2 linked regions of the Alligator mississippiensis genome follow. Each later gene encodes a partner of the first gene's protein in a complex. Links are inferred from orthologs where the notes say so. Each region holds a gene or a part of one and is shown in the gene's direction. Other genes may lie near its edges.

Region 1 (7,036 bases):
GACTCTGGCTCCTTGAGGCGCATGGGGCTGCTGCCTCCCTCCAGATGTCTGCTCTGGCCCTGGCTAACAGCAGGCAACACCAAACCTCTTGGCTCTGGAGGGTCTGTAAGGAACCCAGGGGGAAAGCTCCCAGCAGGAGGGACTGTGCAGAGACGGTAGGATCACTGGTTGAGAGGGAGTTTCCAGCAGGGGAAGAAGACAGAAGCATCTGCTGGTGAGGGAGCTCCCAACTACTGCTGACCCAGCCTCCCCCAGCAAGACTCTGAGAAGCTGCTGCCCTGTAGTAGTTGTGAGACTGAGGCAGAGGAATGTAAACACCACAGCATCCACCAGGAGGTCATAACCTCAGAGTCCGGTTTCTTTTCCTCTGGCTCCCTGTTCCCTAATCCCTAGGGCTGCACTGTTTAGTACAGAGAAAACTAAACAAACAGAGGAAAGCACCAAAGCTAGGCTCTTTGACCACATTACCATGTGCTCAGGGCCCAGCCTGCGTTCACAGATGCACATCAGCACTGATCGGCACACAGAGTCTGCAGAGCCAGGCAGGCCCAGACAGGCATGCAAAGAAACCAAGACAGGTGCTGACACACATGGGCAGAGACAGGCGCTTGGAGACATTCGCTCATGCCTGGACGCAGCAGGCCTGGCTCAGTCCAGCCCCACACCTGGCGTTGATATTCATGGATGGGATTGCAGCGTCGTCTAGGGGCCCATTGCACTAGCACTGTACAAACACAGACCAGAAAGATGATCCCCTCCAGGGAGCTTCGAAGTTAAGTGTAAGACAAGAGGACACAGACAGCTACAGGAAACAGGCACCAGCAGCAAACAGATGCATTTGGCATGATGCACAGGGGCTCAGCATGGCTGCTGGCACGTGTAACTATTTTCACCTGTATAATTAGCATTTCACAAGTGCTTGGGGCAGCCATAGATGACACTGAGGCAAGGTTGTTGGGTTCCTGTAGCTGTGATGGCTCAGGGAATACTGGACAAACAGGATTTATGAGCAATACTATAGCTGGGAGAGATGTTAGACAAGCTTTTGGACACAAAATGCCCTTGCTCATCTCTGGGCAAAAAGCTGATACAGCCTAAGCCAAGTGCCAGGTAGAACAAAGACTTTAATTTAACCCCATTTTATTAATGAAAGTGATTGCTTGTAGGCAGGGGGCCAAAGAGGATCCCAAGCCCTCACCTAGAACCAGCCTGGCACCCCCGCACAGACCCAGCCAAGCCTAAATGCTCAGGTGTATGCATACACATGTGCATGCACATACATGCATGCACCAACCAGTCAAAGCAATTCCCTGAGCCAATTGAGGCTGCAGGCAGGCCATACAGCTTTTCCCAGCATACATGGCTCCTACTGCAAAAGGTGGGGTCTACCTCAGGACTCCCTTGGGTGGGGAGAGAGGTGAGGGAGGGGCTCTGCATTGGGGGGGAGGGGGTGTACTCTCTATAGGCATATGAAGGAGGTTGTCAAGCCAGGCTCAGTCACAGCAGCATGGAGTATCTGGGGTGCCTGCAGAGACTCCAGGTGCTTCTGGAATGAGGCCCCAAATCCCCACCCAGAGAAAAAACCCATTGGGAGGCCAGTGCTTCCCTCCACCCCATTGCCTGACCTGAGTGTGGAACCCTGTATACTGCCCAAGCTAGGGTGGCCAGGCCAGTCTACTCCAGCACAGATTCCTGGCTCAAAGGCCTGTTCTTCTGGGCATCTCAGTGTTCCCCCTTTCCCTTCAAGGATGACTTCTAGGCCCTCAGAAGCTCTGTGGGAGGGGGGGGGGGGGGCTGTTAGACAGTGAAAAGTAGCAAGTCTGGATGCTCTAAGTGATTAATCATCCTGTTACACAGCCTCTCAAGCTCTGCTCCACCCTATGCCTTGGTGTCATTTGCCCTAGCCCCAGACACTGTGTAGGAAGCTGGTAGGGAAACAAATCATAATGGGACCAGAGAAGCGTGAATTGGAAGTAATGAACATCCAGGGGGTCCCTGGCCAGCGTTTCCTGGATGCTTCTAGCACAGACCCACATGGTTTGGTTTTCATAAGCTAATGACCAGAGGTGGGGCCTGGGAGTGGAATGGCGTTGGGATGAGAACTGTGCTGCTGCGACTGCCCGAGATGTGGACTCCACACTCCCACAACTGGAAACAAAGGAGTAACATTCCTGTCTTATGCTGGGTAGGTTTTGGCTTCACCAGCAAGGACAGCAAAGCTGCCAGGAGCTGCTCCTTTCCCCACCCATTTGCTTTGGCTCTAAGCTTCTACAATATTGCACTGTCCAAAGTAAATGCTATGTGCCCCACACCAGACTCCTGCTGCTGTGCCGCGCAAACCTCCCCTTCCCTCCCAGCACAGGCTCCAGCTCAGTCACACTCTCCGTCTCCTTGTACAGACTCTTCCTGCTGCTCCCCACATGCCCAGCCCCCCATGGTACAAACACCTGTGGCATGGCACAAACCACATACTCTCCCTATAGATGCAACTGCCTTCTCTACAACCAGCTGCTTCACTTACTTAGGGCAAAATAATTTTTCCCTCTCACGCCCCATCTCACACTCCACATGTGGCACCTCATTGCAGAAGGGGAATTTCCCCAACAAGAGGCAACTCAAGGCCCAGGACACGACAGCAGGTGGGATCCGCTCGTGAGAGGGCAGCCACGTCTCTTCCACTAGCTGCCCAGACCCAGCTGCCTGCTCATGTGATCCAGGTTCATTTATCTGCATCTGCCACTAGGATGCCTTTTGGGATGGAGCCTTGTGGGCCTCAGTGGTCAGGGCAGCCTAGGGTACATGCAGGGTCTCTGCCAGAGGCCAACCCATTCCATTCCTCAAACCTGCCAGCACTCACCATTTCCCTCACAAGGGCGGACTCCACACTTTCCAACAGGACTAAGTGGGAATCCCTGCTTCGTCCCCTTTGTTCCACCATGGAGCAGCCTGGGAGGCGCTCCCAGCTGCAGGGCAAGTACAATGGGAACAGTGCCTCCTGGCTGCAGCCACCCACAGCTACCTGCTGCCAGCATCACGCTGGGTGGCCCCTTCCAGCCACCTAGCAAGAGCTCTGTAGAAACAGGCTGCCAAAACCGTGGGGTGAAGGTGCTGGCTCAAGCCCAGCATGACCTCGGCAAGGCACTTCTTGCCTGGGAAGCAGGAGCAGCGATTTCTCACCTGCTGCTTCAGCACTGTGGGAGGCTGCAGCAACGCACCCTAGACAACCGGAGGCAGGCGCCCACATGAAGGGCTGGGGTGTGGGGACGGGGCTGCAGCTCGTACCCCTCCGAGGGACAGGAACGGCTAATGCCGAGGCCCCGCTTGTCCTCCCTGGGAAGCCACCAGCTGGGCTTTCTCAGGCCGTTTGCCCTGGAGATTTTTCTTCCCACTGCTGCTCCCACCCCGGCCCAGCTGAAACAACAACCGGGGCGGAGGGGCGGGGGTGCTGAGCGCAAATGCCTTGTTATTGCAGCCGGAGCCTGGGACTCCGAGCCGGCAGACGCAGGCGGACAGGCTGGAAGCGGCTCCAGGCGGCATCGCCTCCGCGGCCCCGAGGGAACCAGGGACAAATCGGGCTGCCACGAGGGCACGGGCAGAGCCCGGCCAGCCCGCAGCGCGGAATGTCTCCCCCGGACGCTGCAGCCAGGAGCCGTGGGATCACGGCTGGCTCCCGCGGGTGGCCGGGGGGCGGGAGGGAAACCGCACGGAGGCCCTGAGAACTGGCGCGGCCGGAGCCGGGGCGCTGCCCCCGCCCCCGCGAGCCCCCAGCCCGGCGGGTCCCGCTGGCGGCGACTGAACCCGCAGCGCCGAGCACGGGCCGCTCCCAGCGCCAGCGCCACCGCCACCGCCACCGCTGGAGGACACCGGGGGGGCGGGGTAGGCGGGGCTAAGCCAGAGTTCGAAACGTGACACATCATCGAACCCGCTCAAGCGTCCCGCGCCGGCGCGAGAGACGGTCTCCGGATTGGCTGACCGGGGCTTCCTCAGCCAATGGGAGGGTGGGACTGGTCGGAAGCGGAAGTGGTCCGTTCTCAGCAGGATCCGGGTAGGGGTAGCAGACGTGGTTTCGTGGTTCCGCCGCCTCAGCTGCCAAGATGCCGGGCGCGGCCGAGAAGGAGTTGGAGCTGTCGGAACAGATCGAGGCCTTCGTGGCGCGGCTGAAGCGGGGCGGGCAGCGGCCACGCTCCGAGGAGACGGCACGGCAGACGCTGGGACTGCTGCGCAAGATCATCGCCCGCGGCCGCTGGGGCAAAGCTGGTGAGAGCCCCGGCCCGGCGCCTCTCTTGGGCCTAGGCCCTTTCCCCCCCGACGGGGCGGGATCCTGCCCCCTTCTCTCGCAGCCAAGGCAGGGCCGGGCGGCAGCGCTTCACGGGCCGGATCCGGATCCGGCCCCGGCACTGCCCGTCCAGCCCACGAGGCAGACATGCAGTAGGAGTTGGCCAGAGGCGGTGCGAGGTATCTTGCTCAGCTGCAGCCCCGCAGGGTCCGGGAGCCCGGCAGGCTGGCGCACCCTGCTCATTTTGACTCCGTTGCTGTCCGGGGCCAAAGGCTTTCTTTTATTTTCTCAGCACTTGCCCCATCGGTTTGCTGGAGATCCTGGCACGGGCTGGGCCTGGTGGCTGTAGAGCTGCTTCAAGGGTGGGTGAGCTGGAGGCTGGTGTTGGGGCCAGCAGCTGTGGAGCTGCATGAGGCTGCGGCCTGGTGACCACGTAGCTGTGCCCTCGTTTCAGGGGAGCTGATGGGCCTCATTCGGAAGGAGGGCCAGAGGATGACAGCAGCCCAGCCATCGGAGACCACGGTGGGCAACATGGTGCGGCGAGTGCTGAAGATCATTAGGGAGGAGTATGGCAGGTGAAGTCCTTGCACCCCCATCACCTGTGCATCTTCCCCATAGTCAACCTGGGAGAGGAGCTGACAGTGTCCTGTGGACCTGAGGGGCACCATCCTCTCTTCCTTCTGCTTTTGCAGGACCCGTTCAGGTGTCCAAACAAGATGCACATCTCCACCCTCCCTCCTCCCAAAGTCTTTTCCTTTTAAGGGTGAACCTACCAAGTTCCTCTTGTGAGACCATTGGTAACACCAGCAAGCCCTATGGTTCCCCAGTCACTGACTACATCTCCACTCAAAGCTCTGTTCAGTGTAGATGTTGCTGCCGTGCAAACTCCTGAATGCTGTGATCTGACACTTCTCTCCCCACTTAGTAAAATGCAGGGGAGTTTTCTGGGTGACACAGCAGCCTTGCGCAAGGCCCTTCCCTGTGCCTGCTGCAGCTGTCGGAGCTGGCTCACTGAGCTTTCAGAGGGTATGGCTTATTGGCAAAGTCTCAGGTGACTGTGCAGTTGGGGAGCTGTGTGAGAGAGTGGGTGCAGCTCCCTTCTTCAATGCTCCCAGTAATCAGGCTTGCTGGTTCTTGGTCCTATGGGGACAGCATGGTTCAAATCAGCTTCTCCTGAAAGTTTTTGTCAGGTTAGTTGGTTTGTCCTGCTCCCATCCTAGTCTTATGGCCATGTTCTCTCTGCAGGCTCCGTGGGCGCAGTGAGGAGAGTGACCAGCAGGAATCTTTGCACAAGCTTCTGACCTCTGGGGGACTCAGTGAGGACTTCAACACCCCCTTCGCCCCACTCAGGGCTAACGTGATTGAAGCTATCAATGAGCTGCTGATAGAGCTGGGTATGCAATGCAGAAGGACTTTCCCATTCCAGGATGGGACTGGAGTGGCTTGCTCATGGGATGACGGGGAAGGGAAGGAGAAGTAGGGGGAGACCCAGTTCCCAGCTCGCGTGGGCACTGCGGGGAGCTGTGAGGCTCTGTCTTGCAGGTGAGGTGTGTCCTAGAATCTGCGCACATCTAGTCCTAAGGAAAGAGTGGAACAGTGAGGGACCTGTGAGGTGTTGACAGGTGAGATTCTTCCCACCTGTGCCCATGGGAAGATCTGAGCAAAACCCTGTCTGCAGGAACATAAAATCTTGCCTGCATGTAGTGCCTGAGGTTGAGTTCTGCTGTGCTCAGGACAGCATGGCCTCACAGAGACTGAATGAACTATGCTCCTTCCCTTGCTATTGCACTGTGTAGGGATGGTCCCTGCAGCCAAGCATGCAGCTCTGGAGACAGCCAAGAGGAGTTGCTGCAGTGGATTGCCTCCAAAGCACCCACTTCCTAGGAGCCTCTCAGACCCTGCTCTGCCCATCACGTTGTCTTTATTCACAGGTCATCACTGCTGGGGCCAGCCATACTGCCTGGTCTCCCCTCTTAGTGCTGGCAGGCTGTGATTGCCTCACAAATCTCCCTTTGCTACCAGGAGGCAGCTTGTGGACTGGGCAGCCATTTAGGCTGGGACTGATGCTGGAGCTGGTGCTATCCTTTTCACTCCCCTAGTTATGAGACTTTTCAACACATCCCATTTCCCTGAGTAGGCAGAGGGCCTGTGAAAGTCAGGGTGCTTTGTCTCCATTTTGCTTCAAGGGCATGTAACAAGGATCTGCCTGGGTTCTAGATGAAGGCCACAGGAAGTTGAGCAGTTCTTGCTGCACAAAGGCCAGTGTTGCTGCCTGAACTAAGGGTGATGTGATGTAGAGCCTGGCTTGGGGATAGCGCAATTGCCGAATTAGGTAACCAGGAGCCCCTGTTGGGGCAAGAGACACTGTTCCTTCTCCTCAAGGGATGGTAGATGAAAGGATGCTGTGCTGTCAGACCCAAGCTCTAAAATGTGTGGGGGTTTTTACTCATGTGGCGATGATTCAGGGCATACTTAAGTGGCTGTGGGCTTGTGTCCTTTTTTCCTGTTGGCATTGGTCTGGTGCTGGTTTCAGCATGGCAGTTAATGGTCCTGACATTCCTCTTCCTGCTGGCTTCCTTCCTTTGCAGAGGGCACAACGGAGAACATTGCAATGCAGGCATTGGAGCACATCCACTCCAATGAGGTGATCATGACCATTGGCTACTCTCACACCGTGGAAGCCTTCTTGAAAGAGGCAGCGCGCAAGCGGAAATTCCAAGTGATTGTGGCGGAGTGTGCACCCTTCTGCCAGGTAAGACC
Region 2 (7,342 bases), on another chromosome or scaffold:
GAAAAGCTATTTCAAACGCATCAAGCTACCTATCATAGTATACTGATTTTTTGTTTTTCATCCAAGACTTGAAAATAGTCAATAAGCAATACAAATATGTACATGGTACCTGCTGTAGGAGCCCCGAATCGTTCTCCAAAACACAGGCATCAATCAAAATATTCTGCAATCAAAAAGATTAAAAGAATCACAATTACAGCAGCACAAAAAATAACCCTCCAGTAGAATTACTGCCCTGAGTTTACACCCAAATTGAAGCTCTTGAACTCTAGTGTGTATTGCATGTTCCAGCCTTCCTCCCCACCAAATGGCTAGGCAAGGACTGATGGCTGAAGCTTATCCAACGTACCACATATATAAGATGTAGGAAAGTGGGGTCTGGACCTCAGTAGCAATCTTGGGCAGACCTGGTAGCCTTTTTGTGTTATAGTGCAATGACATGCACCTACATTTAGCTCAAACACTTTCTCCCTGAGGGTGAAGATGCTCACCTCTCCCAAAAGATCCCATAAACTAGAAGCACATAATGCAACAGTGACAATCTTTTTATGTTTGAGTGTGTTGATATTGAAAAAAATACCCAAATAGTTAACCACCTGATAAAACAGTAACTTCACCTGTTTCTGTGCTGCAAAGATCACATTCATGAAATTCATATACTGCAATGCACTGTCTTCTGCAGCTTTTATAACCTGAATAAAGCAAACAACAACCATTATTGCACAGACAAGACTACTGGATTTTAAAGCCGTTTAAGACAACTGAAGGCAAAAGTTCTTACCAAAATTCTTGATTTTATTTCTTGGTTGGCTACATATTGGAGACATAAAAAAAAACATGCATTAGTATCCCATAAGTATGCGATTAACCACCAGTATTCTGTCCTCCTAATTCTACATTTTAGTTTAACACCTGAATGAAAGCAAGAGACTGTTTTTAGTCATACTAAGACCAAATATGAGAAGATGAAGCTAAACCTCTAGCAGAAGTCACCAGAATAAATTCAGAGTTGCTGTGAAAGTGGATACTGTCACATTCATTCCTAAAAAGCAACTGGATGATGAAGAACAAAGACAATTTCAGTGTGGTTCACTGTCAGTTTACTCGGTCAAACAGAGACTGGATCACAGGTTTTTAAAGCTGTTCTGATGGTACTTTACACCACTTCTCTGTAAAGCTAAATAGAGAGTTTACTTTAAGACTGGTTTACATAATCAAGCCACAGAATACAAGCAGCAGTATCCAAATTCATTTTTGAAACTGTTGAGTATAAAACTTGAATCTGAAGGGTAGACGGTAGTGTAGTACTTTGTAACTGCCGAATTCAAAGTTTTGCTCTACATGTGGAAAGATTTCCCTCTCCTTAGAGCTGACCTTCTGTGCTTGGTTTTAAAGTTCTAACATGTTTGCTAAAGCCATACAATTCTTGCATGTTCTTTCCTCGTCTACCAATCTGCAGTCAAAATTCAATTTGTACACCTGTAAAAGATTGGGACAAACCCTTACTTCTCCACTATAGCCAGCTAAGAAAAGCTCTGCATTTTTTCCTCCTCTTAATTCTAACACTCAGAAAAATATGCAAACAACAGAAAAAAGTACCTTTTACCTCCTTGGTCAGCCTGTGAATATCTGTATTAGCTTTTATTCAGGAAATAACATTTTATTCTAGGAACACTTGAGAAACAGATGTATAAGTCGTTTAAAACAACAAAAGAGAGGAAATATGATACCTGCAATAAACAGTTTAACCAACATGCACAACTTTACCAGAAGTTCAGCTCTCAAGCTATGATATTCAGAAGTCAGAACTGAAAACAAAAACATACTGGGGTTAAGACTACTACCAAGAGAGTGCAAGGTTTCTGGTAGCAATATGGGTCCAGCACAAGAAAGATTTTCGCATGTATTTATTTTTTTAAAGAGAAAGATATTCTAAATGGGAAGTTATGGGAAGGATACAACAAAGTGCTTTGGCAATTGATCCTGCCAATAAAGTTTCTGTTTGTTGGCCCTTCACGTCAGCTGTAATATAAAAATGCACAGAACTGGTTATTGAATAAAGTCATTCCCTTATCTAATGCCATACAGTTCATTCGATCAATTTTTCCTGGACAAAACATTAAAGGCTGGCTCTAAAAGTGCTGAACTTCTCAGCGTCTCATTGGCCTTAAGCACATTCTCATAATGAAAGGGGAGAATAAGCTTCAGAAGACAGAAGCAAAGGAGAGTCTATCATATAGTATAATCTCCTGAAGCATTTCCTTTGCATATAACATTTCAAAATAATACTTCCCCTCATCTGATGGCACTAAAAACTAAGCATGCTACAGAAACCACTACATTCTTTAACAGAAGATCATCTTACTTTTTGTCATGAGGTCTTTAATCTCCTCTGCAATTGTTTCATTTATTGCAGTTAATAATTCGTATTTTCCATCCTTGCTGCCAGCGCAATTAGATTCTACACAGCTGCCACCATCTCCAAAGAGATCTGCAAATGCCCAGCGCTTTCCAGGGTATAAGAAACGACTGAAAGAGAACCAGCAACACAGTATTTGCCTGTTACTTTAATAACAACTGAGTTACAACCACAAATTGAGCCGCTCATAGAAAGTGAAAGTCAAAGGTGACATTTCATTCTAAGCAATGGTCACCATGGAGTAAGGAGTCTTTTTAAAGCTCTACGCAGTGTAAGGATGTCCTGGTGGAAAGGCTCTCTGAGAGACACTCTGAGGAGAACTAGTCTTCAGACACTACCTGAATGCAGGGATCAACCTCCCGTTTCTTATTCTTAGATCAGAAAGTAGTAGTAGCTTTGAATGGAAAGGTCAGACAGGAAAACAACCTCCTTTTGTTCCTTTAGTGCAGCAATCCCCACTTCTCCAAAGCCTTAAAAACCTATACTGTTTTTCCACTTGTTTTTCTGTATTAGTCCCCAAATCCCTTCCCTGTCTGTTTTCACTCATTTTAATAGGGTATTTAAGCCTATTTAAAATAGGTCTAAATTTAAATTAAACATTATATATTTAAATCTGATGCCAATTATTCTTTGCAACACACCGAGCAAGAAATTCAGGCAAGAGACGTGGGTGGGAAATTATAACAGTAGTGATGCTATTCATAAAAGTTACCGTACCTTTCTTGTGTATGGCTTGCAATCACAGCAAGTCTGTTGTTGCGATTCATGAACAAGTGCGAATTCCCCATCACCATCACTGCATCCAGGCATTTTGACAACGTAAACTGTTGGGAAAACAGAAAAAGACAAGGCGCAATGCGTGAAGGAGCGAGGAAAACACGTGGTTTAGCACCATCACCATCTGAAACAAAAACACGCTAAACAAAGCACTCCCTCAAAGTAATGCCTTCCTCAGAGTTCGATATTCACAAAGGTGAGAAGCTGAAAGGAGGCAGCAAATTCCCTCTGAAGGACAGAAAGCATCAGTGACGCTCCAGAAATATGTAGCACTAGAACCATACGTGGATAGGGCTCAAAATCTTCAAAAAACAGCGAGAGAGATCAGTTATTCGCTCACAATAACTCTGGGAGGAGAGGAGAGCCGCGGTCGCGTAAGGGGATGCACGAATGTGTGTTTGAATCTCTGTTCAAGTCTCCTCTGTTCAACAGAGATGAGTCGAGCAGAGTTTCAAACACCCGTGCATCCCCTAACGCGACCGGGGCGCCCGACCCAAGAACAGCACGGCCTCGCTTCAGCCGTGCCGAGCCCCTGCAGCTTTTGGCGACTCCAAGCACACGCTCGAGCGCTCCACGCTCCTGACAACCGGGGCCGAAGGCAGCAAACCGCAGCACCCGACTAACGGGCGGATGGTAAAGGGTGGAATAAGCGACTGGACCGCAGGCGGGGAGAGGCTGTCGGCCCCGCTTTCAGCGCACACCGCCATTCCTGTTGAGACGGGATGTCCCGGTAAGGGGTGCCGGACCCCGGGGCCACCTCCCCGCACTGCAGCTGCGAGCGAGCCACCCACCCAAGGAGCGTTCCGCAGCCGGGAGCCCACGACGGGCGCCCTGGGGCCCGCACACGCGAGGGCAGGAGCTGAGGGCGCAGCCGCGTCCCCCGGGGGGCTGCCTCTCACCTCGCCGCCTCCCTGCGCCTTCTGCCCCCACCAGATGGGGTTGGCGTCCACGACCGCCACGAGCAGGCTCAGCTCGTCCTCTGAGAAGGCAACGGGCGTGAGGCCGGGCACGGCCGCGCCGCGGGGGACGGGGCACGCCCCGGCCAAGCTCATCCTGCCCGGCACGCCCGCCCCCCACCGCCGCCGCCACCACCACCACCACCACCACTTCCGGCGCCGCGCGATGACGCCCACCGCCCGCCACTTCCGGCGCCGCGCAATGACCGTCCCCCGCTACTTCCGGCGCCCTCCTGGTGTCACAAGGGGATGCGCGGAGCCATGGACCGAGCAGGTAGCGGGGCGCGGCGGGGCTGGGGGAGAGCGGGACCCGGGAGGCCGCTGAACCCCGCCTTTGCCTTGCAGCGCTGATCGAGGCCTTCAAGGCGCAGACGAGGGATGACCCGGACCTGGCCTCGGCCGTGGCCGCCATCCGCGCCCTGCTCGAGTTCCTCAAGAGAGACACAGGTGGCTGCCCCCCTCCCGCCCCGGGCGTATCCGCGCCGGTGCTAGCTGCTCTCGAGCAGGAGAACCGTGTGCAGTTGTGCAGGATCGGTCTGCGGTGGGTGGGTGGGTGGGTGGGGGGAGCTGTGATGTCCCCGAGGAGGGCTGCGCGCGCGGGGCAGAGCCGTCGGGGCGCCAGCCGGTGCCCTCGCCGCGATGCCCAAACCGCACCTCTCTCCCTCTCTCAGAGGAGACCATGCAGGGCTTCCGCGCAAACCTCAAAAACGCCATCGAAATGCTCTCAGGCGTCGACTCCTCAGTGGCCGTCTCCTCTGGGGGAGAGCTCTTCCTCCGGTTCATCAGCCTCACCTCGCTGGAGTACACGGTAAGAGCCCGCGGCCGCCGGCGCGGCGGAAGGGATTCCCAACCCTCACTCGCCATGCTCGCTGCTTTTTGCAGGACTACTCCAAGTGCAAAGAGATCATGATCGAGCGAGGGGAGATCTTCCTCAGGAGAATCTCTCTTTCCAGAAACAAAATCGCGAAGCTCTGCCACCCGTTCATCAAAGACGGTGCTGTAAGTGCAACGCGGGCGCTGCACCGGTTCTGGGGCTCCGCTGTTTGGGCAGGAGGCAGAAGGGGAGGGTGACCAAATCTTACTCCCTTGTGTTCAGGGTGATCGCATGATTTGATGTGGGCTCTCTCAAGTAAGGAGAAATAAAGTTTCCTGATCATCGTATTTTTGTTTGCATCACAAGTTCAGATCTTCCTGTGTTTCCTAAGACTCCCTTTCTCTGTCCTCTCCCTCCACCTTTGTTTCTGCGCAAACTGAGGTTGAACTTCTGGCCTGATGCTGACAACCAGATCGTCTCATTCAAGCATTGGAAGCGGTGACTTCTCGGTCCCTCTCAGTGCCAGGGTTTCTTGGGTGGTTGCTTGCAATAAGACATCAGTTAAAAAAAGTCAAGGTTTATGCAATGACTTGACGTGCCGTGCGCTGTAAAAACACTTCTGGGAAACCTACCATTAAGCTCTATTTCTAACTCGTAAAATGCTCACTTTTTATAAAAATCTCAGTAGGCACCTCAAGTACAGGTTTCCCTTGCCAACCGCTGGGGTTAGGTTCCTGAAAGTTCCCGCGGTTGGCAAGACAAAAGGCTTATGGGAAAAATGGCAGGTGGCAGGCTGATGCACAGCCACGGAAAACCATGGTGACTCAGAACTGTATACTGTGGTAGCCAAAATGGTGTATAGAATATTAAGCATGAATACTTAAAACCATGGTTGGCAAGGGAAACCTGTAACTGAAACCAATGCTTTAAAATACCTGTGCATAGTAAAGTAGCACAAGAAATCCTAACAGCCAGGCTTTCCTGAAACTCCATCTCTCCTTTTGACAGCGAATATTAACCCATGCCTATTCAAGAGTGGTCCTCAGAGTGCTAGAAGCAGCTGCAGAGTCAAAGAAGCGTTTCAGAGTTTACGTTACAGAATCACAGCCAGATCAAGCAGGGCAAGTACTTGTCACTACTCTCTTCTTGATTAGTAAAAGAAGTTAGTTTTAAGGTCAGTTCTCATTTTATCAGGAAGAAGCTTTTCCCCTTTTTTTTAAATGCTGCTAAAAGGCAACAACTGCTCTGACAAAACATTATGTCCTCCTTGAGAGGAAATGTATAAACACACTTCAGTAAGAACTGCAAGAAGCAATTCCAACATCACTAATGTTTGCAGAAAATTTACCAGAACTTTAAAAATTAACCATTGCTATGCAAACAGATTTCTGGCTTGGGTGGTTGCTTGCAGTGGTGCAGTCAATTTAAGATGTCAGTTAAAAAAAAACCAGAAAAACCTGAAGCAGTGATTCTTGTAACCATCAGCATCATAAAGTATTCAGCTGCATGTGGCACCCCACCAGACCAGCCCCAAGTGCTGGCTCCAGGGCTAGTTGGGGTCAGGCCCCAGGCCATTTGTGCATCCTTCAGCGAGCGTGGAGAACTGTCCAGTGGAGTAATGCATATGGTGCATACTCTGTGCCAGCCTCCTCTGCAACAGGCAGTGCTTACAGCACTGGGTTCAGCCTGCACACCACAAGCAGCACGAGCCCCAGAGCAGGGCTGGCACATGGTGCACAGGCTATACCTGGTCCATAGGCACACCACATGGCACAGAGGGCCAGCCCTGCATACTGACTCCAGCGCTGCCCCATCTGGACTGGTCCCAGAGCCAGTGCACAGGGTTGTTCTGATGCAGGTGCTGCATACAGCTTATGCCCCAGAGTGACCCCTGTGTAAATCCCATGACATCAGGTCCAGCTCCTATTGCAGACCAATTCTACCTGCTGTAGGCTGCATGTTTGACACCCCTGACTTAAATTGTGTGCAACTTATGTGTGATGCCTACAGCTGTTTAAGCTGAATGATTAGTGAGGAATCTTGCACCTTACTCTGTATATGGTCTATTTATTATCTCCCTTACAGTCAACTAATTCCCTTTTTGGTTCTCACCTGTTGTGTATTATCACACAACTTACTTCTTTAAAGCAGAATGATTGCATGTACAGAGGAAGGAGGATGTGGGAAGGTAGAGACCCACAGTTAGATTTCAGTCTTTCATATAGTACTTCAACTATATTAATTGTATTTCACCAGCACTGTCTTCCAAGAAAGCCTTTTCAACTTCATAAACATTATTTTCATAGGCAAAAAATGGCAAAGGCACTCAGCAAGTTGAACATCCCTGTTACCGTGATTCTGGATGCTGCTGTAGGG

The links. Proteins that work in one complex are often made in the same cells at the same time.
Region 2: the proteins of EIF2B2 (region 1) and EIF2B1 are in contact, whole or in part, in a cryo-EM structure (PDB 7F64), measured with the Homo sapiens proteins. The link is inferred for Alligator mississippiensis from reciprocal best matches to the Homo sapiens genes EIF2B2 and EIF2B1. Residues at the interface, in NP_055054.1 of Homo sapiens: Glu107, Ser108, Leu109, His110, Leu112, Leu113, Thr114, Ser115, Asn242, Phe278, Asn280, Glu281, Glu282, Ser334, Tyr337, Arg338; in NP_001405.1 of Homo sapiens: Leu71, Arg74, Phe75, Leu78, Arg96, Leu99, Phe100, Arg103, Lys110, Thr117, Phe118, Lys120, Ser232, Phe235, Leu283, Asp287, Leu288, Val290, Thr292, Ser294, Ala295, Asp298, Glu299, Leu300, Lys302, Leu303.

The regions. Positions count from the first base shown.
Region 1 is NC_081825.1:261,220,580-261,227,615, forward strand, and holds the start of EIF2B2 (translation initiation factor eIF-2B subunit beta), read left to right. Parts: upstream 1-4,029; 5' UTR 4,030-4,094; coding exon 4,095-4,257; intron 4,258-4,730; coding exon 4,731-4,851; intron 4,852-5,521; coding exon 5,522-5,670; intron 5,671-6,864; coding exon 6,865-7,028; intron 7,029-7,036. UniProt on the Homo sapiens protein: Acts as a component of the translation initiation factor 2B (eIF2B) complex, which catalyzes the exchange of GDP for GTP on eukaryotic initiation factor 2 (eIF2) gamma subunit.
Region 2 is NC_081833.1:5,958,692-5,966,033, reverse strand, and holds the start of EIF2B1 (translation initiation factor eIF-2B subunit alpha), read left to right. Parts: upstream 1-4,342; 5' UTR 4,343-4,401; coding exon 4,402-4,426; intron 4,427-4,497; coding exon 4,498-4,599; intron 4,600-4,823; coding exon 4,824-4,960; intron 4,961-5,034; coding exon 5,035-5,151; intron 5,152-5,974; coding exon 5,975-6,087; intron 6,088-7,272; coding exon 7,273-7,341; intron 7,342-7,342. Other genes in the region: GTF2H3 (general transcription factor IIH subunit 3), read right to left, coding at 110-163, 618-692, 782-810, 1,600-1,629, 1,960-2,022, 2,366-2,529, 3,137-3,243, 4,096-4,248.